Linked DNA regions of Xenopus tropicalis. The protein of the gene in region 2 binds, or shares a complex with, the protein of the main gene of each other region. Links are inferred from orthologs where the notes say so. Each region holds a gene or a part of one and is shown on either strand. Other genes may lie near its edges.

Region 1 (15,696 bases), on a different chromosome or scaffold from region 2:
AAGCAAAGACGATAGCTAAAGATACCTTTCACTAAAACCTAGAAATCATTTCAATGGCCACACCTATGTAACAGCTGAAGGCTGGGGCAGAACATGTGTGTCTTCTAGAGCAGAGCAAAGGAGGAAGCGTTCATGTAGTGCCGCTATAATCTATGCTGCTAGAAGTCACAAGGGTAATTATTGCCATTGTACAGCCTGTAGGACGTTAGTAGCTTCTCAGTTTCGCCACGAATACTCTCAGTAATGGTTTGCAAGTGCAGGCGCCATGTAGTTCATTGGTACTGGGCTGGGGTTGCAGGTATGAAGTTTCCCTGAGTGGAACTGCTGAGTATGTCAATGATATTTTGCTCTCAAAAATATAAATATTAATATATACGCGTGACTTTTTTTTTTTTTTTTTGGAAAACAGACCTTCTAGAATTCAAATGATCCATGTTTTGCTGGCCATGAAACTAGCTACATTTTTCTGACTTTCTTGGATTTTCCCTTAATGTCACCTCTTTATTACACAGTTATACCATCTTTTGCTCTGTTCGTACACTGAATACTTAGAAGTTCTACAAAACTGTAAACATGCATTAGGTTTATTATATATTAAAATATAATAATGGGAGAACCTGTGTTGTTGCTGTCCTATCATTATGCCTTCAGATCTACAGGGACATCCAGCACTATTCTATTCAAATTCAACACACAATTTTTTACCCTGCAGTTCACACAGGATTTATAACTGGTATAACTATTTTTAAAATGTAGTACTAGGAAAACTATATACATTTAGGAATTAATATTTTTAAAAAGTTGTGAATCACTTTCAGGGTTAATATTTGTTCCACGGTTCAGTTTGAACTCTTTGTTTTATTCAGCTATTACCAAATTGCTATTAATTAAGGTCCACACAAGAGAACGGGGCCTCCTTTTTCTACTTCTTGGCCCCCAATCGGGACTTGTATGCTGTTCCTGCTCAGGAAACCCCTTTATTTAATCATGTCAGACTGGCAGTATTAAATATTTGTAAATGCAACTGGTATTACATGCCATGCCTGGATCTGACTAAATATACATTAAAACAAGTGAAGCAATGTTGCTCAGTCAGTGCCACAATTCCTTGCCCACTGTTAATCACAGTATATGCAAGGCATTGTGAGAACTGAATGGGAGCTGAGTACGGATATATTGTTTCATGATCAGATCCAGCAGTGCAGGAAATGGCAGTGGCCAGATAGTGCTTTCAATATATTGACATATACAAATAGCTTTAATCATCGGAAATTGTTCATTTATATTTACTTTCATTATCTCAAATGTTATTTTTGGGTTCACGTCCCCTTTAAGCTTCTCCTGTAAGCTACAGCTTACCATTCTACCATGTTTCAGTTATGGACTGATTTTAAAATGGAGAACGAATACAGAATCCTCAGTGATGAACCTATGATTACGGAATTTGCATGGTGTCTTACCAGAAAAGACCAATAGAAAAGAATGAGTTGAAAGAAAATAAAATCTATATTAGAGAGGTCATTAAAAGAGCACCATGGAAACAAATTAATGTGTTTCTGAGAACTGTATCACGTTTTCTACCTTCTCCATTCCAATATACTTACTCACTTCATTGTCTGTGCTCTTGTACAGATACAGGTAACCCTAAACAGGGTCAATGCTGGGGGTCTGTAGTTTCAAAACCAAGTGTTTGCCAAAAGCTTGTCAGCTTCATTCTGGCCAAATTCCCCAGCACTGTACGACAATGCGCTGCTTGCTTTCAGCTCCTATCTATCCCGATCTCTTGCTGCTACTTAACATTATGGCAACAAAGCATACTTTGTATTCAGAGGTCTTACTTTTCTTGTAGATATGATGTACTTTAGGCTTCCAGTTTCTCAAACCTACATATACATATATATACAAACAAGCCAGACTGCTTCATATGCCTTCTAAGGGGTTAGGCTGTCTTTAAAGAAATTAAAAAAATAATTTCCTAATACCAGAAAAGTATAAAATATAATCTTGCTTTTAGCAATGGAAAGCCAGTGAAATCATATGTGTATCTAACAGATGTAAGGGCTGTATCCAAAATACATCCATTTTACATAATTCTACACCAATATCCTACTGAGCATGGGTACAATACCCCTGCCTTTTAAGATACCCTGTTCCACCAACATATCTACAGCACCCCCAAATAATAGTGTGGGGGCATGCAATATATTACAAAGAAATGAGTTCTTAACTAATTTTGAGGATAAATGTATGGGAAACAATGCAACATGAAAACAAAACAAACAAAAACAAAGGCATGAAAACGATACATAGTTATGCTAGTGTATAACATGCAGGGGCTGCCAACAAAAGTCCAAATTTACATACTGCTATGTGTTTCTTTTGTTATCTGCATGTAATGATGGACCATCCTGTGTGTGGGAGTGACTACCAATCACTTTGCTTGTCCCTTGAGTCACAGTTTCCTCTTTCTTTAGTTTTTTGCTGACCTCGCTGAGTGATGGAGATTTCACCATGTATCTATCTGCAGGTGGTGGCTGGTCCTTTGATGGAGGAATTTTTCTAGGGTCTAAAACATCAAATACTCTTAGTCGTTCTGACTTATTAGAAAGTCCAGAAGTCCAGTCTTGTTGCTTAGAGACAGCAGATAGAGTGCACTCATTTAGGGAGGTGCATGTCCTGAAACCTGTGTCTGTAGACAACTCTCTAATGCTCTCCTGCATTGATTCAGATCTGGAAAGCTCAGATTTCTTTTGCCTTGAATTTTTCTCCTTTTTGTTTATATGGTCATCTGAACCTTTTGATCCCGGCATGCTAAGCTTTACTGGTCCCAAGACACTTTTAGCCATGGTTGCAATATGAGCGACCAATGGTTTTTTCTCACTGGACACAGGGTTGGTTGAGGAAACTGTACCCACTTTTCGAGACAAGGTTGCTTCTGTGGAAACAGAGTTGTTCATACCCTTTAAAGTGCTTTGCTTTTCAGCAGGTTCCTGCTGCCCTTGCTCATTTACAACAGGCAAATATTGCACATAAGCATCTGATGCAGTACTGGTAGTTGAACATGTATCTCCTGCAGAGCAGTGTACTGCAACAGAATTTGAAGTGGTCTTTAGGCAAGATGAGGAAAGAGAAAGTGCAGACTCTTTAGAGCCATCTTCAGGAAGAGTCTCTTTACAATTAGGCACCTCTAAATGAGCTTCAATGCTAACACAGCTACTTTTGCTTGACTGACATAGATGTGGATCTGAGGAGGAGTCTGCTTCTTTTTGCACCACAATATTCTGAGTGTTCTTCCTATCAGTGCCTGTACTTTGTTGGTTTGATTCTTGGAGTGGTTTACCTTGTATTTGCATAGCATTTACCTCACGTTTTAAAATGTTTTGTTGTTTTAGCATATTGATTTCTGCAGCAGGTATCAGGCAAGTATCAGGGGGAAGGTTTGGACTACAAAAGGACCGAATCCCAGATTGGTCAGGGGTATTTTGCAATGTGACATCAATAACTTTCCTACCAGCAGTTTCTTTCACCTCACTCTTTCTTCTGTAGTCTGGAAGAAGGAAAGAATCATCCTCGGTGCTACTCTTGCTCTGCTTTTGGCAGGAATCTCTTCCACTGCTGATTGCTGAAGCAGAAACTTTTTCATTTCTAAATGAAGCTCTCTCTAACCGCCTCCCATCCTGGCTGTCCTCTGAGCCTTCATCAGTTTCATCCTCAGAAGAATCCACCTCACGAATAGCCTCCTGTTTTTGAAGTGACTCCCTTCTTTCAACCCTATCGTGACGAATAGCACCAAGTTTCCTTGAAGGTTTCTGCAGAGTCCCTTTTTCTGCCAGCCCTACTTTGCCACCAGTGTTCTCACTCATAGACTCTGGCAAGCACTGCAAACTTAAGTCACGATGCATTATCTCTTTTTTGAAATCTGAGTGTGAGATATCCAGACTGTGCTTCCGAGAAGAAGCCAGCTTTTTCTCAGAGGATAACGAACCAGATAACTTTTCTGCAGATTGTACCCTTTTCAGCAAAGGAGATCGTGGTGGCTCAGCACTTTTTGGCCTTGATATTTGCCTCACAAGTGGTGGAGAAGAGTGCAATTTGACCGGAAAAGACTGCAGAATGTTGCAGTTTCCAAGAGTGTGTCCTGGAAGAGGTGAAGGTGAACGTTGTGGAGAGGTGGATTGAGATGTTGGCGAGGGCGTATGTGCCAAAGGTGAAAGTGGTATATTCCCTGCAGATTTGCGACGAGGAGACCTGTATTGCCTTTGTAGCTTTGGAGCCAGCCCATGCAAGGAACTAGGTCGTATATGCCCAGAACTGGCTGGAGAGTTAGGAACACTGGAGCTTGGAGAGCTGCTTTGAGAAGAATTACCACCAACTAGAAAAGGGAAAAAAAGGACAAAATTGACGAGAGATATTACTGCAACCCCTATCATTGCATAGCAAACAACACAACAACAGATCTATTGTTATTTTCTGGTTTGCCTAAACAGAAGGTGAGAACTGCTCACACAGTTATACCTGAGTGTGTCGAGTCTGGAGTAGATCTGTAAGTCTGTGTAGGAGAACGAGGGGACAGTACATGGGTGGGAGAACCTGGCACACTTTCTCCAGAGGACAGGGAACGGTTGAGAGAGGACAGGCTGCGACTGGTGTGAAGTAGTGATGCTTGCTTCGTTATCTTCCGGAATAAAGAACACTTTTTCTTGCTGTGCATAACAAGAAAGATAAGCTTTGTAATGTATGATTTTACAAATATATATTATATTATATATATATATATATATATATATATATATATATATATATATATATATATATATACACACACACACACACACACACACACATACATATATATGCATTTTATTCAATTTCAGCTGATCATGAATATGAACTTGCCTTTCCTGCCCATCCTTTGGTTTGCTCTTCTTATTCCGGCGAGCCATTTTTGACTTGTAGCTAGCTTTCCGTGCTGGGCCAACTTTGATTGAAGTGTTCTCAAATGGAGTAGTGGATATGGAAACTTTGTTTCCACTCTGCCACACAAACACAATATAACAAAATGTGAATTTCAAGATACAATTATGAATAATATTTAGGAATGCACCAAGTCCAGGATTTGGTTCGGAATTCGGACAAGATTTGGGCTTTTTCTAAATCAGAATCCTTAAAATCATGTAACTTTTTGTCACAGACACTGAAGTTGAAAACAGTTCACCGTGCGCAAAAAAAATGTACCCATGTGGTGGTGTTTAGCGCTTCCATATCATAATTTGCATATGCAAATTAGGATTCAGATTTGATCAGGTCGCATCAATTGCAACGGATTGAGGCTTTGGCCAGATCCTGAAATAGTGGATTCGGTGCATCCCTAATAATAATGCCATGATTGCAAATTTTTTTTTTTTTTTAAAAAAAGCAAGAAAAGCTATTGTGGTTATACAGAACTTTCAGTTTTCTATACAGCTTCTCCTTGGCCTTGGATTTTGGAAAGTGTAGGTTTTATAATTGACCAAGTATGGTAATTCCTCCACTGACTCAAACCAAATTCAAATTACTAACACTCACATTAACAATCAAGCCCCACCATATATTCCAGCTCTGCTTCTGCCTTTCACCTCTCAAGCTACTGCCTGTGTCTGGAACTCCCTGCCATGACCTCCCCTCCAAATGCTCCCTAAAGTACCACTGTTGAGAAACATATATTCTGCAGCCCATGTCCACCTTAACATTGTCAACTACTAACAAAATGCCAAACTTGTCCACAGTGAAAAGCTGTGAAGATAAAAATGTTTTTTTAATACTCCTGTAAATGACAGAATGTGGGTACCAATGTAACACATCTTCCCATTAGTCTAAAAAAGCAAATACAAGCAAACCAGTGTTAAGCATCTGGTTGAGTGGTACCTTCAGGATGAGTTCCACAACTTCGGTGTGCACTAGCCCATGGACAGGTTCTCCATTGACATGAGTGATCAAATCACCTTCTCGGAGCCCAGCATCATGAGCTGGACCATCTTCTTCGACATGCTACAAAAGAGTGCATTATACTGTTAAGATAAACATGTAAATGTAGTGCTGCTACTAGTGATGAGCAGACTCGCCCAGTGTCCTAAAACACTGTTTAACTCTTTCTATGACATACACTGTATAGAAAGTGCTCTCACAGAAGCATGTATACACATATATATATTTATACGCACCCACACCATGTGATGGACAGTGTAGACATCACTTTCTCCCATGTAGACACGAATGGCTCGCAGAGTGAAGCCATATTTCTTTCCTGCCCGATGTATGATGATTGGTGGTTTGAGATGGGAGATAGCTGGGAAAAAATCTCGGCTTGGCGAAGAGTCACGTGAGGATGGGTTTGAGGATAACGAATGTGGCGACATAGGGCTGGCCAAAGGTGAATAAGTATGGTAATCTGGAAAATTAAATCAGTTGTTTAGAAATTAAAAGCTCAAAAGTGAAATTGAAAACCAAAACTAATACTAAAGAGTTGTGGACTTTTTAAACTTTGTCTATCTACACAAAGCAGGTTATAAAGCACTAATTGCCTAAATGGTTTACATGAACAAATTTACCCATTCTGTTATAACAAGGACATAATTCTACACTAAGATTTTTTTAGACATCTTCAAGTTCTGAAATCACCAGTTGTGCGCCACTATTGCCGCACTGAGTTATGAGTAGATAGGCAAAAACCATCATTTTACCTCTGGGTAGAGTGCTTGAACATTGAGATTCCTATAAAAAAAAAAAAATACCTAAACCGGGCAGGATTAGTATAAAGAAATTCCAAAATACGCTGTAATGCCCCATTGATTGACAATGACATTCTAGGCCAGATACGTCACTATACTTCATTAGCACATTCTCACGCTAGCCTAGGTTCATTTAAAAATTAATAATATCCATGAGGCAAAACTAAAAGCAATCATGGGACTAATAGCGGGCAATAAATATTTATTTAAAGTAAATGTTTTGTTCCTCCTGAGAGGACCTTTCTCATGTCCTGTGAGTGCTTCTATAATTGCTACATTGAGATATAGATTGTTATAGTTTTATATAATATAACATAAAATGCCAGCAACATGAAATAATAATGTCTGAAATATATTATGCCATAAAATCAGACATCTCTGTATACTGAAATACTTTTATATATTTAGAATTAAACAGACTTTGTATGTGAATACCATACTGTGTCCTGCAGTACAGTGCTAAGGTAGGAGTAGGAGGCATTGCTTACCAGAGGGGATCATGAGTGACAGGGCAGTGGCCGAGGCTGACTTGATCACTTTATTGACTGGTCTGGAGGGGCGTTTTTCGCCAGAATCCCCAGATAGAAGCCTATGGCGTGCTCTTCTTACAGCTAAGTCACTGATGGCTTTAGGACTGGCAAATTCAGAAACGTCTATGCCGATGTTGTTGTCTGAGAAGTCAGCGTTGCTGCCAGCTGGTGAAACAATAAGAGGAATTTCAAGTTTATTTACCTTATGGCATAGGATCCCTACATCAAAACAGACTTCAACTAACTATGAAACTAACTTACTTATTTTTAAAGGGTGTAAACAAACAGTTAGTAAAAGTAAGAATGAAAGAATGAAAAAAAATAACAGCCTTAGACATAAAATAAGTGCACTATATTGTGTTGTTTGGAATATTACTAGAGGGTTTACAGGCTTACAGTACTGGGTAATTACCAGTCAGTGTGGTTGAGCTGCTAATATTGCTTATTGTAGAAGAAGGTGTAGATGGCACCAATTCATCATCTAGTTTCAGTTCCCTTTCCACTGGCTGCTCTAGGATAGGGAGGGGGTTGCCATCTTTTTGGAGAGACGATGGGCTTGCTAAGGCATCCTGCTGAGACTGGCTTAGCTTCCTCTGTAAGTGCAATTCTTCTTCTGTGGAGATGGCAAAGCGAGGCATATCAACCAGCGCAGAACATCGCCTTCTGACTGTAAGGGGTGGGCTGGAGTCACTTTCTGTGTGAGAAGACTCAGATGCAGACAGGCGCTTGCGAAGGCTAAATATAGAACAAAACCATGATTAAAATACTTTCCAAACAGCTATAAAAAAAACATATCACAATACATTAAGTCATTTTTTGTAAACAAGTTACTAATACTAATACTTGCTGTGCTGCATTATGAAAAAGTGGCCTATAATGTTTATATATTTTTATAAATACCTGCTTCACTAAAATGCTATTGAGATTGAGGTTGTTTTTTTTGTCTGATTTGAGAAAAAATGCAAATAATGTTTGGAATATTTTCTCTGCCCCTAAGTTTGTCCAGGTGCAGTAACTTAACCAATCAGAAGGTAGCATTTCCTGGTCACCTGTTTTATTGTTTTCATGAGTAACTGCGCCTGGGCAAACTTAGCACCTTTTATTACGTATAGTGGTAAGGAGTAACTCCAAATGTAAAATTTGTGTTACATTAGAATTTTCCACTGCTGTGTCATAGTTCAATGGTGCTGTTGTGTGACTAAACCAAATCTAAAACAAGGTTAGATGATCACTCACACATAACAGGTAATTTACCAACTAACAGAAAGTGGCTTGAACGCCACAGTGATATATACTGTATGTATTGTAGAGATAGGGCAACTGCCAAAATCCCTTACATTTCGGGGGATCCGATGACCCAGCCCCGGTCTCTGTTCTTCAACCCACCCAGTCCATCCAACTTGTCTTCTTTTTCCTCACTCAGGCTGCGTTTAGTGGGTGGAGGAGTTCTTTCTTCATGAATGGAAAGGCGCTCCATGCTGCTATAAACCTGCACAGTTTGACTGGATTAGGCTTTGTATTGTTTGAAAGAAAAGGTATGGATGCATTCTGCAGAATATTAAACTCCGAAACAACATTACTGAATCTTCAGTTATTGGTGCTATAATGCTGCCGGACTGCCCAACTTAATCACCCCCGCTCACTACAGGCTAGAAAATAAATGAATGATTCATTTATCAGACAAGAAGTTGAGACAAACCTCGCCTTCCCTAATTATGGAAACTAAAATCTTGAAATTTTTCCCAGATTGATGTTCTGAATAAAGCAGTAACAGTGCATATTTATGTTGTCTACAACTGGACATATTTAGAATTCTCCTCACAAACAGGTGAACCATTATACAGGTACAAGCATTATTTTATTGACATTTTTGACATTTATTTTGATTTTTTTTTTCATAAAAAAGACTCCAGTTTATAGGTACAGTCTAAAATTACAACTTAAAGGGGTATTTTAAGTTTTGCATCTCAATTGTTTTTGAATAGTTTTCTTCTAAATCAGAAATTAGATTTTGCAGTTGCTTTTTCTTAATTTAGGGTGCTGACATACAGAGCAATGAAACACTGACAATACCTGCCCCTTTGCATTAGTCAGAAAATGCAGAAAGAGGCATTTTGAAATGATTACCTGCAATTGCTGCATGTAATGAGTTTTACATGCAGCGATTCCAACTAATTTGAAGGGGCAGGTATTGTTGGGCGCTTCATCACTCACTAATGTAGCAAACTGTAGCAAACAGTTGAGAGTTGGCAACCTGGTTTACTTGAGCTGCTACTGGAAAACACCAGAAGAAATAAAACAAATCCGTTTTAAAGTTCAACTTTAAAAAGTATTTATTCATAGTGTACTGACAATAACTGAACTAATGTGAACTAGTGGAATGTGAATTAGCCCTGTGATATTTAGCTACCTTAAATTTATGTTGAGTTCCACTTTTAAAGGGCTTTTAACCAAATGGTCATGGTAACAAACCTGCTTCAGCTTGAAACAAAGCCAGCAATTATCATGGGAAAGCACCCACAGCCCAACCCCAAAAAGCTACAGCATTGGTGTATTTTCTCTTTGTGACTGAGGAAGACTGGGTATATACATTATGGCATTTTATGATATAGAGGAGCTGGTTAAAGAATTCTGTCAGCAAAGGGTTGTTGCAGGAGACAGGAGTGGTGTCGCCAAAATGATACCAAGACCAGAAAACAGATAACCGATCTTGTCTCTTACTTAGCCCTCCACTCAATTTTGTATTCATAATAAATGTTGCATCTTCCTCTGAGAATGACACGAGTACTATGGGAATGTGAGAGGCCATGGGACATCAGAAAACACCCAAGGGAATAGGTCTTATGCTGCTGTTCTTGCCTAAACTCGACTAAATGTATAGCTGCTGTATACTTTAAAAAAAGCATCTAGATTTACCTTACTAAATCGAGGCGAACATGATGAAAACTGTCTGATCTCTACTCGATCTTCATCATTTGTGTCTTCCTCCTCTTCAGAATCCATGTGCTGGTATCTTTCAGATCGGGCTGTGCGATCAGCAGTTAGTCAGAGTGTGTACATATTTACTGATTTCAAACAATAACTACAGATATTTGTAAATATTGTAGATGGAGATAACTAATGTTTGAAGCGAATATTTGAGTTTTTCCCACAATAACAAATGTTGTTGTTAAACACATGAATGTATCCAGCAAACTTCTGCTATATCATCTACACTAAGTTCTAGGTAGAAGAAATCATGCAGTATAGGGAGTTCAAATAGTGTATAGGCTCTAGTTTTCTATACAATCTGTATTTTAGCATTAGAAAGCATAGTGGAGAAGTTTACAACTACAATTTCATCTTAAACCGATTTGCTAGCATGTATCTGTGGTGTGCACTGTTACTGCAGGCTCAAAGTTACTCAGCAAAGCAATTTCTCTGGTTCGGACTCTTTGTATTGCAAACATAAATCCTATGCAATAGACACAGAAGTGCTATTTGTAAAGCTATATGTGTCACTACATCTGCTAACCTAACCTTCTTATCAATTTTAAAACCTGTATGGTTGCTGCTGGCCAATTAATTTTTAAGAGCTTTTGACATGAAATGTCCAAAACATACAGTAATCTGCAAGTCTTTGCCTGATAAAGTCCATGTGTATATTGACCAATTTGCAAGTCTGCCTGATAAGGTCCATGTGCATATTGACTAATCATGGGCATTTAAGGGAGTCTGGTAGGTCATCAAAATGTAAAAGAAGTGGTACTAGAGAGCCACAGTTTATAGTTTTATGATATATCTTGGCTAAATGATATGGCTATGACTAAATATACCTATGATCTGATAGAAATGTTTTACATTTGCAGCGTACCCTGCCATGCATTATAGACAACAGATAATGTTACAGCTACACAGAATGAATATGTACAGTATTTCCTTACTGTCAAAATAGCTGGTGTCATCTTCAGATTCTAGCTGGGGAATAAACTCAGCTTTCTGCCGCAGCAAACCATTCCAATCCAAATCCTTAAAGAAGCGATGCTGTTTAACCTCAATTGCGCTACCTATAAAATGCAAATAATGGTTTTAATGTTGTTGTGTGTTCTCGGTTTATGGAAAACTGTGACTAAATCGGACCTGTTCCTAGTCTCTCCAAGGGGTTTTGTCGGAGAAGTCTGGATATCAGATCTTGAGCATCTGCAGGCAAAGCATCATCTCCATCTGGCCAGGCAATTTCATCTGTTAATTAATAAAACCCCATGAAGTCAGCTGAGTAACATTTATACCTATGCAACTTTAACCCATACATTATTGTGTAAATAAGAGTTGGTGTTTTTAAAACTGCAATGTCTGATATAGAACAGATACACTATTCAGCATCTGATCCTATCAGAAGATGCTTGTTGGAAGGGACGAGGGCACAGTTATTAGTTATGCATTTGTGCATAACCATCACTATCTTCATCCTTTACTTAACTTTTGTACAGGTATAGGACCCATTATCCAGAATGCTCGGGACCAAGGGTATTCCGGATAAGGAGTCTTTCTGTAATTTGGAGCTTCATATCTTAAGTCTACTAAAAAATCAATAAAACATTAATTAAACCCAATAGGATTATTTTGCATCCGATAAGGATTAATTATATCTTAGTTGGGATCAAAACAATGTCCTCTTTTATTATTACAGGGAAAAAGTAAATCCATTTTAAAAATCTGAATTATTATCTGCACTGCAAAAAGTACACTGATCCAATCCAAATTCAAGATGGGAAGATGAGTTTATTTTTAAACTTCTAATATTTTAACACTTTCATATATTAAAGCCATTTAAATACAATCTTACAATGGTCAAAAAACGAGTTATTTAGTTAGCTAAAAAAAAACTAAAAGAAAGGTACTTACCGCTGATGACTTGTCCAAACAATTCTTCGGGTGTATCACCAAAGAAAGGAACGCAACCAACTAAAAACTCATATAGAATGACACCCATAGCCCACCAGTCAACAGGTTTCCCATATCCTTGCCTCAGAATAACTTCTGGAGCAATGTACTCTGGGGTCCCACACACCTGGTGGAAGAATGACAAAAAAGGTCTGTAGTGAATTTTATTATAAGTCCAGAACACCAAAGCTATGCCAGGTTTTCATCAACAACTCGTTGACATTTTGCAACATGGAGCTGAACATGAGAGAATACCCTCAGAATGTTGCAAATTCTTGCTAACAGTACCATTAGATTTTAAACACCCCATATGATCAAATGGGAAAAAGCTTTACAAATTTTAACCACATTAGATCAATGTCAACACACAACAGCCATGGTCAGGACCTACAAGATGTACCAATCACATTGAATATTATAAAAGATGACTTCACAGATGCCATTAAACACTGGCGAAACTCAATTATGTTTCTAGAACAAGCTCTCCCTATTGCTGTACAGGACACCAAGGTACAAATGCCTTGGCAATGTCCTCACATCAACCATGTCAACAAGTTTTTTGGATTATGAATAAAGACCTTCATCTTAACATCCCAAGAAAACCTGAGATAGCTCTACTGCTACTTTGATCAAAAATGTTGCCAAATATAAAAAGAAATCCTTGTTCCAGCTATTTAACACAAATGCAGTGACTATAGAAAGATTCTGAAAGTCAGGAGGCCTTTACAATAACCAACATGTACTACAGACCATGGACTCCCAAGCTGTATTGGAAAAAATGGCATTATGAAACCAAAATGAAATATACAGTAATATGTGGTTCTGAAAGGGCAGTTGCTGATACCAGTCAATTGGCAATTAGTTTTCTCTACTATAAATTGGAAAATAAAAACAAAGACCTAACAGGTCGCTAACTAAACCACAATATCTAAACTCTATTTCTCCAGCATGCTGTTGTCTCAGATCCCAACAGCCAAAGCTAATGATCAGTAAAGTTGGACATTTGTATCTATACCAGTATGGCTGTGAAAATCTTTACCTGCTGGTTCTGCTTACCTGTTTATCCAAGAATTCTCTTGTGTCCTTTTCAATATGGCCTTCATAAAGGTTTGTGGTTAGACTCATGAGCCCAATTTTAGAGAGACCAAAATCTGTAAGCTTGATGTGCCCCATTGAGGTAATTAGGAGGCTGCAATTACAGTTACAATTATATGTATTAATAATGAAAACTGAACACATTTATAGTGCTTTATTCCCCTTTTATTCTTCACTTTTGCATAGAAGTGCAGTGACTATCTACAAATAATTTAATGCAACACCAGACGGATATAAAAATCTACTTGTACAAACAAGTACATACTGGGATTTTCTAATTCTTTCACAAATAGTTCAAAATCCTCTCCAAATATTCTCTAAAGATCCTTGGTGAACAGACTTTTTATATGCAGAAGGTAGATAATCAATTCAAAATGCGTTTTATTCAGGATATAAAATGATCTGCAACTTTAAACAAAGCTTTTTTTCTTACTTAATTATAACTAATAAAGTATTATAGTAAAGCCAACAAACCTACATCTCTAACCACTCTACACATCCAATTGTTTTGCCCATTCATATTTGCAATAATGCTAGGAAACAGCCATTTTGGATGAGGCCACTGGTGAAAAGCAATTCTCAGCCAGACAGAGGACTCAGCTATGACTGGGTACTTAAGGAAACTCATTAGTTTATATGTAAGCCACTTGTCAAGTTTAATGTTTTGGTACCCTGTCCGCATGGAATATACATTTTTCATACAGTTAGGTCCATAAATATTTGGACAGAGACAACTTTTTTCTAATTTTGGTTCTGTACATTACCAAAATGAATTTTAAATGAAACAACTCAGATGCAGTTAAACTGCAGACTTTCAGCTTTAATTCAGCGGGGTGAACAAAACGATTTCATAAAAATGTGAGGCAACTTAAGCATTTTTTTTAACACAATCCCTTCATTTTAAGGGGTCAAAAGTAATTGGACAATTGGCTCAAAGGCTATTTCATGGGCAGGTGTTGGCAAGTCTGTAGTTGAGTCAAGTTGATTTGAGGTATGGTGCTTGCATGTGGAAAATTTTGCTGTGAACAGACAAAGGTCAAAGGAGCTCTCCATGCAGGTGAAAGAAGCCATCCTTAAGATAAGAAAACAGAAAAAACCCATCCGAGAAATTGCTACAATATTAGGAGTGGCAAAATCTACAGTTTGGTACATCCTGAGAAAGAAACCAAGCACTGGTGAACCCAGCAACGCAAAAACACCTGGACGTCCAAGGAAAACAACAGTGGTGGATGATCGTAGAATCATTTCCATGGTGAAGAAAAACCCATTCACAACACCCAACCAAGTGAACAACACTCCAGGGGGTAGGCGTATCCAAGATATCCAAGTCTACCATAAAGAGAAGACTGCAAAGTAAATACAGAGGGTTCACTGCAAGGTGCAAGCCTCTCATAAGCCTCAAGAATAGAAGGCTAGATTGGACTTTGCTAAAAAAACATCTAAAAAAGCCAGCACAGTTCTGGAAAAACATTCTTTGGACAGATGAAACCAAGATCAACCTATACCAGAATGTCTAGTATAAATAATATATCTAGTATAAATAAATCTAAAGCAACTGGACTTGTTAAGTAATCATTGAAGATGTTTCACTACTCATCCGAGCAGATTCTTCAGTTCAACTGACTGGTATGGGAACTCCTCAGCATATGCACTCTTCCTATACCAGAATGATCGCAAGAAAAAAGTATGGAGAAGGCGTGGAACAGCTCATTATCCAAAGCATACCACATCATCTGTAAAACACAGTGGAGGCAGTGTGATGGCTTGGGCGTGCATGGCTGCCAGTGGCACCGGGACACTAGTGTTTATTGATGATGTGACACAGGACAGAAGCAGCCGAATAAATTCTGAGGTGTTAAGAGACATACTGTCTGTTCAAATCCAGCTAAATGTAGTCAAATTGATTGTGTGGCATTTCATGATACAGATGGACAATGACCCAAAACACACAGCAAAGAAGTGGAAATGAATGGCCAAGTCAGTCTCCTGATCTTAAGACAATTGAGCATGCCCATGTAAAATTATATTAAACACTTTTTGGATCAATGTAAATTAAATATGTTTCCCTTTAAGACCATGTGCCCAGTTAATGCTTGAGTGAACCAGAACCACCATTACATCTCATTTAATTGTACTGATTGTCTGACTGGAAATAGTTTTACTGGATCATCACACTAAAGTTACGGTGCACTGCAATTTTGGGAGAGCTGAATTGGCATGTGCTTTCAGTCACTGCCCACTGAGTGCCAAAGAGGGGTTGAACTTTTTATTAAATTTGAATGTTATTTGTTACATAATAAAGCTTTTGTTGAAAATGCAAGAACCTCCTGTGGGACCAAGAAAAGGCAGGTTTGTTTATTTTGAGATTGAGTTCTAAAGAC
Region 2 (15,696 bases):
CAACTTGCACAGTAGCAGCAGGTTTTTCTAGTTAAACGACTAATAAAAAGCAAGGGCAGGGCATTTTTGGGGGATGGCATTGCAACCACAAAAGGACAAACCAACTTATAGCAAATTTCATGTTCCATTTTGCATAGTCACAGGCATCTAAACACCCCCCCGGTTTCCCCTTACACTTCAGCTTTTCAGCTCGTTTCTATAAATATTCCCAATTTGATCTGCTTTCTGTGCCGATTATACTTTAGAATAACTGCTGCAGTAGCTGAACCAGTCTTTCTCTTTGCTTTTGTATAAACGGAATACCACAAACCCCTCGTGCAGTCGGGGCATTCTCTCTGCACTCGCTGCTGTGGTTTTGCGCTACCTTTGTTCCACTGTAAGTTCCATACACCCACCCTTCCTGAGTAACCACACCGCCGGGCTTCTATCTACACCTTACTGACACCTAAGCTGCCACTTCACATGGCTGGAAACGCTAACCTGTGAATTGATTAGAGGGTGCAACCTTGTTATCTGCTGTGCAGTCTTTGCACCTTTGATTTAAAGGGCGGAGGCCCATCGTCACCTAAATGGAGCAGTTTCTAGAGTTTCTCTAGAGAAAGCAGCTCTGCTTATTTTCTGTGTAGTGTTTGGCCCTTGAATCACCAGTTGTGTGAGACTTTATCATGCCTGGGTGCCTTCCCTGGTGGCCGAGGGGGGCCTGGGTGCCTTCCCCTGGTGGCCGAGGGGGGCCTGGGTGCCTTCCCCTGGTGGCCGAGGGGGGCCTGGGTGCCTGGGTCCCTTCCCCTGGTGGCCGAGGGGGGCCTGGGTGCCTGGGTCCCTTCCCCTGGTGGCCGAGGGGGGCCTGGGTGCCTGGGTCCCTTCCCCTGGTGGCCGAGGGGGGCCTGGGTGCCTGGGTCCCTTCCCCTGGTGGCCGAGGGGGGCCTGGGTGCCTGGGTCCCTTCCCCTGGTGGCCGAGGGGGGCCTGGGTGCCTGGGTCCCTTCCCCTGGTGGCCGAGGGGGGCCTGGGTGCCTGGGTCCCTTCCCCTGGTGGCCGAGGGGGGCCTGGGTTCCTGGGTCCCTTCCCCTGGTGGCCGGGGGGGGCCTGGGTCCCTTCCCCTGGTGGCCGGGGGGGGCCTGGGTCCCTTCCCCTGGTGGCCGGGGGGGGCCTGGGTCCCTTCCCCTGGTGGCCGGGGGGGGCCTGGGTCCCTTCCCCTGGTGGCCGGGGGGGGCCTGGGTCCCTTCCCCTGGTGGCCGGGGGGGGCCTGGGTCCCTTCCCCTGGTGGCCGGGGGGGGGCCTGGGTCCCTTCCCCTGGTGGCTGGGGGGGGCCTGGGTCCCTTCCCCTGGTGGCCGGGGTGTCGGGGATGCCTGGGGGCCGGTATCTGACAAGCTGCAGTGCACACATGCCTGTAGATAGATACCCCTGGCAGAAGCCGTGCAGCGTAGCTGGAGCTGCGGCGGTGCCATAGGATTGTGTAGCCAGAGAAGCAGGTGGGTGAGATTTTCCTGTCCCGCTTGTAAACAAGGACAGTTATTCTTTCTATTTGGTAACTAGGCAATAAAACCTGATCCATTCAGCCGGGTGTCAAGGGCCCTTTAATTATGTAAATATCAATTATTTTCCCCGGGCATCTGATCCCTTTGCATCTGGTAACCCCCCCTTTATAGTAAAAACAGTTTTTATTTTCTGCCAAGATGCAAGCCATGCACATATATATATATATCTACAGTATCTCCAATGCGGTAGTAGAATTCAAACAGGACTTTGTTCCTACATAAATGAGAAAAAAATCCCCTCCCCCAACAAAAGCTGACAGTCTCTCTAGTCTAAGGCCACATTTATGCCTGCGCCGTTTAAAGTAAACTTTTAATATGTTATAAAATGTTCTGTTTCTAGAAACTTGGTCTGTATTATTTTTTCTACTTTTTTAAATTATTTGCCTTCCTCTCTTCTACATCTATTGAACTTTCAAATGGCAGTCAGTGACCCCGGCAGCTAGAATGCTATTGGTCTGTGATCTTACAATGTTGTTTTAACTTTGTTTCTTATCTTTCTATCAAAGCCCCGTCATTATTCATATTCTTAGCTGGTTGCTAAGATAAGCTAGACCCTAGCAACCAACTAGCTGAACGTCGGCAGCTCTATAAAAGTAATGAGCCTGATCCAACCCCTGTCATAGTAGTCGGTACTGTGGCACCTGTTATCCAGAATGCTCGGGACCTGGGTTTTACGGATAAGGGATCTTTCTGTAATTTGAATCTCCATACCTTATGTCTGGTAAAAATAATTTAAACATGAAATAAACCCAATAGGGCTGTTCTGCCCCAATAAGGGGTAATTATATCTTAGTTGGGATCAAGTACAGGTACTGTTTTATTATTACAGAGAAAAGGGAATCATTTAACCATGAAATAAACCCAATAGGGCTGTTCTGCCCCCAATAAGGGGTAATTATATCTTAGTTGGGATCAAGTACAGGTACTGTTTTATTATTACAGAGAAAAGGGAATCATTTAACCATTAAATAAACCCAATAGGGCTGTTCTGCCCCAATAAGGGGTAATTATATCTTAGTTGGGATCAAGTACAGATACTGTTTTATTATTACAGAGAAAAGGGAATCATTTAACCATTAAATAAACCCAGCAGGGCTGTTCTGCCCCAATAAGGGGTAATTATATCTTAGTTGGGATCAAGTACAGATACTGTTTTATTATTACAGAGAAAAGGGAATCATTTAACCATTAAATAAACCCAATAGGGCTGTTCTGCCCCCAATAAGGGGTAATTATATCTTAGTTGGGATCACGTACAGGTACTGTTTTATTATTACAGAGAAAAGGGAATCATTTAACCATTAAATAAACCCAATAGGGCTGTTCTGCCCCAATAAGGGGTAATTATATCTTAGTTGGGATCAAGTACAGGTACTGTTTTATTATTACAGAGAAAAGGGAATCATTTAACCATGAAATAAACCCAATAGGGCTGTTCTGCCCCCAATAAGGGGTAATTATATCTTAGTTGGGATCAAGTACAGGTACTGTTTTATTATTACAGAGAAAAGGGAATCATTTAACCATGAAATAAACCCAATAGGGCTGTTCTGCCCCCAATAAGGGGTAATTATATCTTGGGATCAAGTACAGGTACTGTTTTATTACAGAGAAAAAGGAAATAATTTTCAGTAATTAGAATGATTTGCTTATAATAGGCCATCTCCCATAGACTTTCTGTAATTTAGAACTTTCTAGATAATGGGATTCCAGAGAATGGACTAGTTTGTTTACTGCCCTATATTGCAAATGTGAATTCAGCATTGTATGGTGAATTTACATTGTGTGTATACTATACATTGTTAGTGAGGTAAATGGCGGCAGCCCAGGGCATCGGCAGAAAAGAAGATGGGAAGCTACTGGGGGCATCAATATTGCTAATGGGCTGTTGTGGCCTAAGGCTAGTACACAAATTCCTTTAATAATGGACAACTAAAGCCTAACAAAGAACAGGCTAGAAATGCAAAACATTGATCACCATGGGCCAAAGAAGCCGGGCTTGTATAGCAGAGTTTCATTCCAGTAACTACAACCCCCCCCTCCCCAATAGTCCTAGTTAATAGGGCATTGCCAAAATATGTATATGTCATTTTCTTTATAAACTATAACATGGGAAAATGCTTGCAAGACCTCTAAGAATAGAGGCTGGGGCCCTACTCCAAGGGATGATTATAAGCAAATAAACCACATCTTTTAAATCAGCGTTTTTCAACCGCTGTTCCGAGATGTTGCCTGGTGTGCCGTAGGCAGGGCCGCAATTTTTACTTTAAAAAAAATCCGAGCCCTGTCATTGGTTGCGCCCCGTGTGTATGGGTGACGTCAGTACGCACGGGGCGCAACGTTATAAAAGGGCCTGTGTGCGGTCGCGTGTAGGCAGAAGTGCAGAGGCGGCGCGCGTGAGGGGAAGATGCTGCTGAAGCCGCCGAAGAGTAAAATGCTGCTGGGCACCAATGTATTAAGGGGGGCCACGGGGCACACTGACTTATGGGGGCACTGCTGCTGGGCACCAATGTACTAGGGGGGCTGGCTCTTGGCACCAATGTACTAGGGGGGCACTGCTGCTGGGCACCAATGTACTAGAGGGGCACTGCTCTTGGCACCAATGTACTAGGGGGGCACTGCTGCTGGGCACCAATGTAACAGGGGGGCACTGCTCTTGGCACCAATGTACTAGGGGGGCACTGCTGCTGGGCACCAGTGTACTAGGGGGGCACTGCTGCTGGGCACAGAGTTAAATTTTTTAACATTTTCTAATGGTGGTGTGCCTCGTGATTTTTTTCATGAAACAAGTGTGCCTTTCCCCAAAAAAGGTTGAAAAACACTGGTTTAAATGATACAATGGTGCAGACATCAGATCTCTGATGTGACATTAAGGAAGACACACAGAGTTACTAGTAGCAGCTACTTGTCACGGCTACTAAATGCCAGAAAATCCCCTGCCATAGACAATACTGAGAATTGCCTCTGCTAAAACACACGTAGAGACAATTATCAGTAAATGATCAGCATTGTCTGTATCTGTAGCTGCTACTAGTATCTGTGTGTCTTCACCCTAGAACAACAGGCTTTTCTTTCTCAATAACCTGCTTTCCTTCAGACCAACTAACAACCTCTCTGTATTCTCCTAGATCCCCAGTTTGTCGTTTACCAGCTGAAAGTCAAGATCTTCACCTCAACAGCAGGTCCCAAGCGCATCGAGAAGTTGATGTATTTTGATTTCCCCCAGCCTTTGCCCGTTTGCGGGGATATCAAGGTAGAATTTTTCCACAAACAGAACAAAGTGATGAAAAAGGTTAGTGTGGCTTATTTTTTTTCTAAGCAATGTTATAAATATGTTCACACACGGTTACACAACAACTGCACAAGTGTCCATTTAGGGTGAAGAGACACGGAGCTACTAGTAGCAGCTACTTGTCGTGGCTACTAAAATAGACAATGCTGATTATTTACTGATAATTGTCTCTACGTGTGTTTTAGCAGGGTCAGTTCTCGGTATTGTCTATGGCAGGGGATTTTCTGGAGTTTAGTAGCCATGAAAAAGTAGCTGCTACTAGTAGCTCAGTGTGTCTTCACCCTTACGGCGTTGGATTTCTTGCCCCTGAAGACTCTGGCAGCTTTGGGTACGGTGCCCTGGCACAAACGTGGTGCACACACACTCATAAAGAGAATGTCTGGTCCATTTATTCCGACTAATATTCCTGTTTAATCTGTATGGCGATGTGAACGTTTGCATCTGGGACGTTATTTGCATCACGTGTAGCTGTAATTAACTATAAATGACCGGCTCTTATCAGCCATACCTCTGCTCTGTCACTTGAATTAAATATTTACACACAAGCTACTTGCAAGTACACCCTGTGAAACAGAGCCACACACTAGTTTAAGGCTGAACCCTGACCTGTGGGAACGAACGCCAGCTTCATCTCTCCTTGCCTTCCCATTGGTGGCTCATGCGTGAAGGCACTGTGGAATATTGTAGGTTTTTTTTTTATCGTTTGAGGAAGAAAGGAATCATAAAAAATAAAGCAAACTGTTCTTCCTTTGCAACAAAGTAGCCTTTATCTGACAGCATTGATTATCAGTTGATCATTTACACTTGTGGCACTGTAGACTAAACATTGGGGCTGTGGGGCATGTACTTTAATCACAGCTACTTGTGATAGCAAGTCACACACGGGGCCGACTCTCAGGCTGCAGCGGGGGCTGTTTCTCTTCCTGCATTTAAGCACAGCCACTAGCCAATGTCTTTATACCCCCCAGTCACAGGGCATTTTTTATCTTTTCTAATAAGTAGTCCTCTGTTCTTGCCATTGGTTTCCTTGGGAACCACTGTTAGTCAATCTGCTGTGTGCTACAGCGCCCTAAATGTTGACCGCACTATTTATGCTTTTGTATAACTGATGGAATTTATTTACACAGGCAAGTAGGCCCTTGTTTATCTTACACGGAAATAAGGTTTGGATTGGAATAAGACGTTTTGCTTTTGTAAACTTGTCAAAAAAGGCAAATAATGCAACATGTGGGAGTTCTGAAAATCTCCTGTTCAGAAAAACACACACATATATAATATAGTTAAGTTGGGTTGAAAAAAGACCAAAGTCCAACAAGTTCAACCCTTCCAAATGAACCCCAGTGCACATATAGACAGTCTTACCAACCTATCTATTCAACTCACATTAACTATATATACCATTCTCTATACCAGCTGTAGATTATACAACCGAAATAGCCTTTTCATTGTTTGTTTATTTCATTGCTTGTTTAAGAAATCGCCCAAAGCCACACTAAAGCTAATGTCCTACAGAGTGATTTAGTCATCTGCTACCACTGGTGACTAAAATGCCTTTCCAATCGCCAGTGGAAAGGCTTATACATTGCGGAGATCTATCTCAGGCAACTAAGGCTAATGCACCACTGGGAGATCAGTCGCCCACCATCAATCTCTGGTACCTTGGGCAACTAATCTCCCAAAAAGCATTTTCACTGGCGCAGTGTTTCCTTCTGCAGGCAACTTCGAGGTTTAGGCCTTTTCCATTTATTGCTGGTGGGAGAGCTTTTCGGGGAGATTAGTCGCCCACAGTAGTAGAGATTTATCATGGGCGATTAATATCCCCTAATCTAAAGGCATTAATTGGCAGAGCAGACATCTTATCAGTGCTCTTTGGCCTATGGCACATGGGGCATTTTATCCCCCACTGCCCACAGACAGAGGCGCAGACAAAATGCCCCTCTCCACCTGTCATTAATCCAAATACTACAGGATAAAAACGTAAAGCAGTGACATGCAGAGAGGGCCATCTGTTTCAGCTCTGTGTGCATTGAATAGGGCACATTCAGTAGTAGTCTCCGTAATGACAGATGTGGGGGGGGGGGTTGTTTGTCCTCCGCTGTTCATCAACTGGGGGCAGTGGTTGACAAAATGCCTGATGTGCAGTTGGCTGACTAAAACATCTCTTTGGCTTTTTGTTTGATATCGGCAATGGACTCTGTTGGTTACAAAGTGTTAAAGTACTTGTGCGTTCCACCAGTGGTCAGTCAGACCTCGTGACAGCTATCCAGTGTTTACTTTAGAGCCTGTAATGTTTGTAGTTCATAGAAACCAGTTCCATTGTATCAATGGAAATAGCCATTCTGTAGTGCTGGAGAGGGTCTAATTTGCAAGGGGTCAAATGCCATTCGTGACTCCCCACACACCTACAAGAGGCAAATATTCCTTATAAATGACCGTTACTTGGATGACTCGTGTCCTCTACACACACAAGCCATACCTTTACCAACATGGCCACTCCTGGCCCAGTCCACAGCCATACCTTTACCAACATGGCCACTCCTGGCCCAGTCCCCAGCCATACCTTTACTAACATGGCCACTCCTGGCCCAGTCCCCAGCCATACCTTTACTAACATGGCCACTCCTGGCCCAGTCTACAGCCATACCTTTGCTAACATGGCCACTCCTGGCCCAGTCCCCAGCCATACCTTTACTAACATGGCCACTCCTGGCCCAGTCCACAGCCATGGCTTTACCAACATGGCCGCTCCTGGCCCAGTCCACACAGCTCCTTTTGAATACTTTTTCATTTTTACGAAGCCATTGAAGGTTATTTCCTGCAGCACTGTTTACTAAAAAAAAAATTGTGTTTTTTGTTTTCAGGAAAAGATGTTCCATTTTTGGATAAACACATTCTTCATACCAGGACCGGAAGAGTATTCAGAAAAAGTAGAAAATGGAACGTTAGTCGGGGAGCAGGAGCTTGATGGCATATACAGTACAGAACGTTCAGATAATGACAAGGAATATCTCACCCTCACTTTAACTAAAAACGACCTAGATAAAGCTAACAAAGACAAAGCCAACAGATTATTCTCTCCAAACTTCAAAGTAAGTACCCAAAGCCTTGTTTGATGGAACGCACAAATGTACTGTACCCTGCAGCCAAATGGCTGGCATCTGACATACCCTCCGAGGGGCGCTTCAGCTGGCATTTACTGAGCTACATGCTCGGCAGGAATCCTCACTGCCAGCTGACTGAACTGCAATACATAGCATTGCGACCAATCACAGTGAGGCTCCCCTGGTTGCAGCAATTGCACAGAGAGTTCTCCATTACCTGCCTACAGTAGCTGTGATTAGTAGTGATGTGCAGAGTGAGAAAGTCGCCCCTAACCTGCCCACTTCCTACCCGACCCAGCTTCTGCCCTGTATTTATAGGCCCGCGTCCATCCCACCCTGCAATGATGTCACAAAACTGAAGGCAAAGGCTGGTAGTGTTAGGTCGTGGGCAAGCTTCAGTACATTGCTATTACAGGTATGGGATCCATTATCCAGAAACCTGTTATCCAGAAGGCTCGAAATTACAGAGAGGCTATCTTCTATAGACTCTCTTTTTTGATAAAATAATTAAAATTTTTTTTAGAAATTTCCTTTTTCTCTAATTATAAAATAGTACCTTGTACCTTATTGGAGGCAAAACAGTCCTATGGGGTTTATTTAATGTTTAAATGATCTTTCAGTAGATTTAAGCCAGGGATCCCCAACCAGTGGCTCAGGGGCAACATGTTGCTCCCCAACCCCTTGGATGTTGCTCTCAGTGACCCCAAACCAGAGAGTTATTTTTGAATTCCTGACTTGGGGGCAAGTTTTGGTTGAATAAAAACAAGATTTCCTACCAAATAAAGCCCCCTGTAAGCTGATAGGGTGCATAGAGGCTGCCTAATAGCCAATCACAGCCCTTATTTGGCTCCTCCATGAACTTTTATGGTGCTTGTGTTGCTCCCCAAGTCTTTTTACATTTGACTGTGGCTCACGGGTAAGAAAGGTTGGGGACCCCTGACTTAAGGTATGGAGATCCAAATTACAGAAAGACCCCTTATGCAGATAACCCCAGGCCCCAAGGATTCAGGTCTCATACCTGTATAAGCAAAGAATCGTCTGATGTGCCGTAGGCCATAATCTTTCTCTAGACCTCTCAGCCCTGCCCATTTACTATTTCCCACTGTAGTATATTCCATGGCCCTGTGTATGTAATGCACACACTGTGTCTGTGTGTTAGAGCTATATTATATATATTATAGTAACATCTGCTGCCTCTTTCCCCTGTTATCTCCCGCTGCAGGTGATTAGCTGGCCGCTTTTACTGATAGAAAATAGAGATGTGTCTTTGTCTAATGTAAATATTAGACACTGAATATATCTTTATTCTTTGCTATGTTTGCCTGGATTCATGTTGCTGTTCAGCTTTGCTGCTTGTCTCCATTGTTCTCACTTGTTTGGACAGCCTTTTCTTCTGCCGTATCTCTCATCAAGTGCATAGTAACCAGGTCTGAGGTGTCTCTCTATAGGCGAAGGCAGACTTCACTATTAGTCGCGGCGATTTTGAAAAATTGCAGCTACTAATTGCAAGCTAGCTAGAATGACGGTGACTAGTACCCATGCGGATGTGGTAACTTAGCCAGCTACGGGGCTCACTGTCGCTGCGGGTAATTTTTTTACAAATCGTGGCCGCCCCATCTGTCTTCTCCCCACTATTAGTGGCTGGTAACTGGCATACTGATCTTCAGGGGCCAGACTGTCAGTATGCCACTGTTCCTACTGCAAATGAGCCGCTTGCTTGTTTGGGGGGAAGCCCAAGCAGCAGAAGAGGCAGGGGAAAGGCAATAGGCAAGTGGTAAAAACAGATATGCTCAATGCATATGATCGACCGGACCGATATGGAAGTGCGGCGTGAATGCGTATGTACGAGACACAGAAATCCACGGGGCCACCCCTTCCTTAGCAGCTTTATTAAAGGAACAGTTACACCAAAAAATGAAACTGTATAAACATAATTACCATGTAATATACTGTTGCCCTGCACTGGTGTAAAAGTTGTATTTTTGCCTTAGAGACACTACTATAGTTTATATAAATATGGGGGCAGACATTCAATCTGGAAAAAAAGGCACAGGTTACATAGGAGATAACAGATAAAACACCTTTATATTCTATAGAGTTTATCTGTTATCTGCTATGTATCCTGTGGCTTTTCTCCTTTTACCAGCTTCAATGTCTACACAGCAGCTTAAGGTCCCCATACACCCTCAGATCCGTTCGCTTGGTGATGTTGCCAAGCGAGCGGATCTTCTCCCGATATCCCGATGGGTGGGCGATATCGGGAGAATCTATTTTAACGACGGGTATAGGCAAAGTCGATCCAGGGACCACATCAACGAGCCGATGCAGTCCCCGATCCGACTAGATTTTTTTAATCTGCCCGATTTCAGGCCAGATATCGGTCGGGCAGGCCCGTTGGTAGTGCCCCGAATCGGTCTAAGGGACCCATATTGGCAACTAGAATTGCCCCGTGTATGGGCACCTTTATTTATATAAACCAGTGTTACCAGTGCAGGGCAACAATACATTATAATTTAATTACTTTAAAGCTTTCATTTTTTTTTGTTACTGTTCCTTTATAAAGGCCCCCATACACGGGCCTGATAGAAGCTATCGATATCGGTCCCTTGGACCAACTCGGCAGCTTATCGTGTAGGGGCAGAAACGAGCGGGCTGGCCAACCGATATCTGGCCTGAAATTGGCCAGATATCGATCAGCCAGGTTAAAAGATTCAGTCGGATCGGGGGCTGCATTGGCTCGTTGATGCGGTCCCCGAACCGACTGCCCCATTGCCGCCTACATAATCCGGTCGTTTGGCCCCAGGGCCAAACGATCGGATTTTTTTTTTTTTTTTTTTTTTTTTTTAACTTCAAGCTCCCCGATATCGCCCACCACCCGTAGGTGGGGATATCGGTGGAAGATCCGCTCGCTTGGCGATCTCGCCAAGCGAGTGGATCTTACAGTGTATGGGGATCTTTAGGGATGTGCCCCTTAAGTATTATATACAGAGAAGAAGAACCCTAATCTGACTCAGGAAATTATCCATCAATGAGGCATAAACATAGATTGGCTGATCCTTATCACTCCTGGCTGGGGGTTTACTCTAACATTAGGCCAACTGCTTGGGATCCTGACACTTAACTCTTTCTTTTCCGCCCGTAGGTGAAGCTATTTTTCACCAAGACAGTAGAAGAATCTTCAAACTCGGAAGCTAGCAGCTCAACCTCTGTAACGCCGGATGTTAGTGACAATGAACCTGATCATTATCGATATTCTGACACCACTGACTCTGATCCAGAGAATGAACCTTTTGATGAAGATCAGATCACACAAATTACAAAAGTCTGAAGGGGGTTTTGTTGTGTTTTTTTTTTTTCCTCTTTTTTTTGTTTTTCCCCAATTTTTTGTTTTTTTTGTTTTTTTTTAAATCGAGGGAAAACCACACAGGAATGCAAACTTGAATAAACTGAGAAAAAAAGGACCTTTTTAAAAACAAAAAACCCGGCATGTGACATTGTGTCAGACACCAAGTTATAGGAGCAATTATCTATTCCTTGACCAATCCTGCCAGCGAGGTGTTAATGGCGCTGCTGCCCAAACGGAAAGAGAGAGACGGGCGAAAAAAATCGTGAATGAAAAGGTTACGTAGCGTTGTTATGTATATACCCTTTTCATGTCTGAGGACATATATATCTTAATTAGGTTAAATAAAGATGGCACTTTCCCATTTTATTCCAGGTTTTTTTTTTTTTTTTGAAAGTGGAGATTTGTATACTTTAGCAATCATGCCTTTTTTTTTTCTTTTTTTTTTTTTATGTGTTTGTGTCACCAACTAAAAAAAAAAAAAACAACCAATCACGTGCATTGTGACACCCCCCCCCCCCCCCCCCCCCCCGGCTCTACGCAATAGGTAACCTTGCGCATCGTGCCGAGGGGGTTTCGTTGCGTTTAGATGGGGCGGGGTAACGAGGGGGGATGCTTAGTAACGCAATTCCAGCCGCATTCACCGCGTGGTGTCTTCTGCCACGCCCCCTTTTTGTTTCCCCCCCCTCCCCCTTAGCATGCTATGATGAGAAACCAATCCGGAACATAATAAGGAATGCTGCTTCATTTTTTGTGCGTTTATATTTTTTGAAAGCAAATGGTGCTAGAAAGGGCAGCTGTAGGGAGCGATTCTGTGTTACGCAGGTACAGGAACCCTCTTTTTGTTTTCATTCACCAACACAGCGAATAAACATTGGCATTTTTTATTACCCCATCCCTCCATTCTATTGGCTGTTCCATCTCTTGTGTAAGCAGGGCCAGTTTTCCCCCATGTGGGGGCAGATCTGATAATCACTTACCCCCCAGTTATTGCATTGATTCCCAACGTACGTGCTGTGAATGCTTTATGTGCTGCCTGCAACTTTTTTTCCCGGTCCCTTACTCTTTTCATTCAACATCCATTTTTATTGGTGCACAGGATATTTCAATGTGATTCTATCGATTTAATTTATAGGTTTAAAAAAAAAAAAAAAAAAAAGAAAGGCAAGCCGGCATGATGCGTAGGGTAAAATTCATTACAGTCAGCAGGTCCACTTTTTTTTTTGTTTTCGTTGTTTTTTTTTTTAAAAAAATCGTACACATTCTATTACAATGCGTTTTGCAGTTTTGCACACTTTTAATGTCATTAACTGTTAGGGAATTTTACTTGAAGAATGTTTAGTACCTACAATGTCTTTCTTTTTTTTTTTTTTTTTTTATATATACATATATATTTTTTTTAATTTACACGTGGTTTAGGAGCCACTGTTGCTTTAAACTTTTTTTTTTTTCCAACACTGCACAGATATAAAAGTTGTGTATTTCAAAAAAAAAAAAAAAAATATAAAGTGTCCCAAATATTCTATTATGGTATGATTGCTATTAAACTATTAGAGATCTGAACTGGCAGTGTTTTTGTTTATTCACAGTGGAAGCCAATTTGTAGCTTTTTAGATTTCCCCACTTCTCGCCCAGACGGCAGTTAAACACGGCTGCTGGTTTTTTTTTTGGTTGCAAACGGGGCTTCTGGATTATTAGCCAAATACTTCCCTGATCCCTAGTACTACTTTCACTTAAATAGCTCTTGTTTGGGTATAAACGGACGTAGCGGCGCGGTCGAGGTCTCTTCTTCAGTTGGGACTGAAGGATTAATGGCTTCTATCCTGTTGGGTTGGAAGAAAAGATGGCCTTGTATCTTATCTTTAGCCTTATCTTTAGGTTGCCCATCTCTATTGGTCAATATAGTAAGATCCTAGCTGGGATCAAGGGGGAAGCTCCTTTGCGGTTGAGGTCTCTTCTTCAGTTGGGACTGAAGCATTAATGACTTCTATCCTGTTGGGTTGGAAGAAAAGATGGCTTTGTATATTTCCTTATCTTTAGGTTGCCCATCTCTATTGGTCAATATGGTAAGATCCTAGCTGGGATCAAAGGGGAGCTTCTTTGTAGTCGAGGTCTCTTCTTCGGTTGTTCATCTTGGGACTGAAGGATTAATGACTTTTTCCCTGTTGGGTTGGAAGAAAACATGGCCTTGTATATTTGGTAATCTTTAGGTTGCCCATCTCTGTTGGTCAATAGTAAAGTCCTAGCCAGCAGCAAAGGATCCTAGCTGGGATCAAGGAGGAGCTTTTTACCTATAGCAACCATCAGCAGGTAGCCTTTACTGATCATCTGTTTTAAAGCATCTTAGTGGTTGCTATGGCTCACTGCTCCTGGTCAGGTGTATTGCCTGTTATTACATAAGAGGTGGGGGATAAGTTCCTTATCCCAGTTATGCCTAGTCCCGTACTTTGAGTTGAATGTCAACTGCTCCAGGTGTAGAAATGGTCGCTACAGACGATGGTAAAGATTTGGCTTCCTCAAGAACAGCGGTTCTCAACCTTCCTAGTTCCTCGTGTTGTGGTGACCCCCAACCATAAAATTATTCCTAAGACCCTATGAAATGCGATGGTCTTAGGCGACCGCTGTGAAAAGGGTCGTTCCACCCCCAAAGGGGTCCCGACCCACAGGTTGAGAACCGCTGCTCTAGAAGTACATGCTGCTCTTATTGGCTTATTTTGTAACATTAATGGAGATGCACTAAACTAAAAACAAGCATTGGGAAAGCATGAAGAGCCGGGTATAGGAGGGAAGATGAGGCTCTGTTGGTCTTTGATCATCGCTGTGGCCGTTTGTCCCGTTATGAAGTTTTCAGTTGGCTCTGAGATGAGCAACGTGTTGGCTTTTGAGAGAACAGAGCAGATAGGATGTACACAAGGGATGTACGAGCCTCACAATATACGTCCTCATTGGTGGCCCTCTTGCATGAACAAATGAAACTGTGCTGTGTAGTGACATAACGTTTCAAGCTTTCATAAAATTATTGGTGCTATGGATTTGTCTTAAGTCTTATCGTTAAGGGAAATATACGCCCACTAAATAAGGGTTTTATTCAAAATTTTATATAGGAGCCAGACAGAGTGTGTATGATAGTGCCCTGCCATCTGGGTATATGTGGCAGCTCCGGGCATTGGGTTTAACAGCATGCTTTGATTCTGTTGGATCGGAAATGACCAAACCGTAGGCCCAAACTAAAGGAACAATGGAATGTGGTCATCTACGTATCTAGTGATATGGTATCTGACTGATCAGTTGGATTGAGGGTTTGCTTTCGTATTGCCGCCTTTCAGATCAAACCCAGTGTATGATAACCTTTCCTAAACTTGCTTTATCACTGATGAGAATGCAGTAGAAGTATCTAGTAGAATTAAGTCTTTACGAATTGGACTTTCTGAGTTCTCTTGAAAATGTTCCACCACTCATCCAAGCAGCTTCTCAGGTTCAACAGAAGAAGCCAATTGGATGAACGGTTGAACTGAAGAAGCTGCTTGGGTTAGTGGTGAAGGGTTTTCAAGAAAACCCGATCCAGTTGCTCAATACTGTATATCATGACCTGGATGGAAGACTTAATATAGGGAGTAGCTATGTCGTAGGCTGGCCCAACATTCAATTTTGGCCATACTTCCCAACCATTTGCATGTGTATGCAGTGGGTGTAAGGGCTGTCTTGACTGATCATGTGGTGATCCAATCAGATCACAGATGCTTCATGTTGTCTCCTAAAGTGTCATGTCGAGGGTATGGTGCAACGTCACATGAGGAAGTAGAGGAACTGCGGCTCTTTACTACTTCCTGTTCAGGCTGTTTGTATGAACAGAACAATACATAGGTGGCCATACAAGTGTAAAGCCACCAGTGGCATCTGTCCATGGTCAGATGCCAGAGTAGGACCACCTTTGAGTAGGACCACCCTACCTCTGAGGTTCATAGCCTGGGTAAAAGTCTTTTCTCTAATCCCAACATGGAGATTGGTTCAATTGGTGGGTCTTTGATAAACGTTGGGAAAGCAATTTGGAATCAAATGATAATGTTATGAGAACCTGATCTGTCGAAGAACCATCACAGCACCATTCACACAAGATGTAGCCAGTTTCTGATAGTCGTATCCCATTAAAGATAACATGTCTGCTGGCCACCACTAGCCCCAGGCAGTACATACACGCCTACAATTTGGGAGGTGGGTGGAACCATAAAACGGAAAGAAGAGTTTAGTTTTATGCGAAGGGGAACTTTTGTGTTTATGAATAAATGCTTTCCTATGGGGGTGCCATGTATTTTAGCTGCCTTTCCTTCTAAAGGATATAGTGCTTTTTCCAACCCGAGAGATATTCGGAGAGACCTACCCAAGAATTCTTTTTAAAATGTTTTTATTTTTTTGGCTTGAAATT

What was found.
Region 1: the proteins of pten (region 2) and mast2 are in contact, whole or in part, in an NMR structure (PDB 2KYL), measured with the Homo sapiens proteins. The link is inferred for Xenopus tropicalis from reciprocal best matches to the Homo sapiens genes PTEN and MAST2. Residues at the interface, in NP_000305.3 of Homo sapiens: Pro391, Phe392, Asp393, Glu394, Asp395, Gln396, His397, Thr398, Gln399, Ile400, Thr401, Lys402, Val403; in NP_055927.2 of Homo sapiens: Lys1112, Lys1113, Tyr1114, Gly1115, Phe1116, Thr1117, Leu1118, Arg1119, Ala1120, Ile1121, Arg1122, Val1123, Tyr1124, Met1136, Trp1138, Glu1141, His1170, Val1174, Ile1177, Leu1178, Leu1191.

The regions. Positions count from the first base shown.
Region 1 is NC_030680.2:92,380,647-92,396,342, reverse strand, and holds the end of mast2 (microtubule-associated serine/threonine-protein kinase 2), read right to left. Parts: intron 13,410-15,696; coding exon 13,277-13,409; intron 12,348-13,276; coding exon 12,182-12,347; intron 11,519-12,181; coding exon 11,417-11,518; intron 11,344-11,416; coding exon 11,221-11,343; intron 10,324-11,220; coding exon 10,214-10,323; intron 8,787-10,213; coding exon 8,635-8,786; intron 8,033-8,634; coding exon 7,710-8,032; intron 7,463-7,709; coding exon 7,256-7,462; intron 6,428-7,255; coding exon 6,201-6,427; intron 6,028-6,200; coding exon 5,905-6,027; intron 5,034-5,904; coding exon 4,897-5,033; intron 4,704-4,896; coding exon 4,516-4,703; intron 4,373-4,515; coding exon 2,367-4,372; 3' UTR 2,217-2,366; downstream 1-2,216. UniProt on the Homo sapiens protein: Appears to link the dystrophin/utrophin network with microtubule filaments via the syntrophins. Phosphorylation of DMD or UTRN may modulate their affinities for associated proteins. Functions in a multi-protein complex in spermatid maturation.
Region 2 is NC_030683.2:12,934,254-12,949,949, reverse strand, and holds the end of pten (phosphatidylinositol 3,4,5-trisphosphate 3-phosphatase and dual-specificity protein phosphatase PTEN), read left to right. Parts: intron 1-4,665; coding exon 4,666-4,829; intron 4,830-7,690; coding exon 7,691-7,918; intron 7,919-11,072; coding exon 11,073-11,258; 3' UTR 11,259-11,642; downstream 11,643-15,696. UniProt on the Homo sapiens protein: Dual-specificity protein phosphatase, dephosphorylating tyrosine-, serine- and threonine-phosphorylated proteins.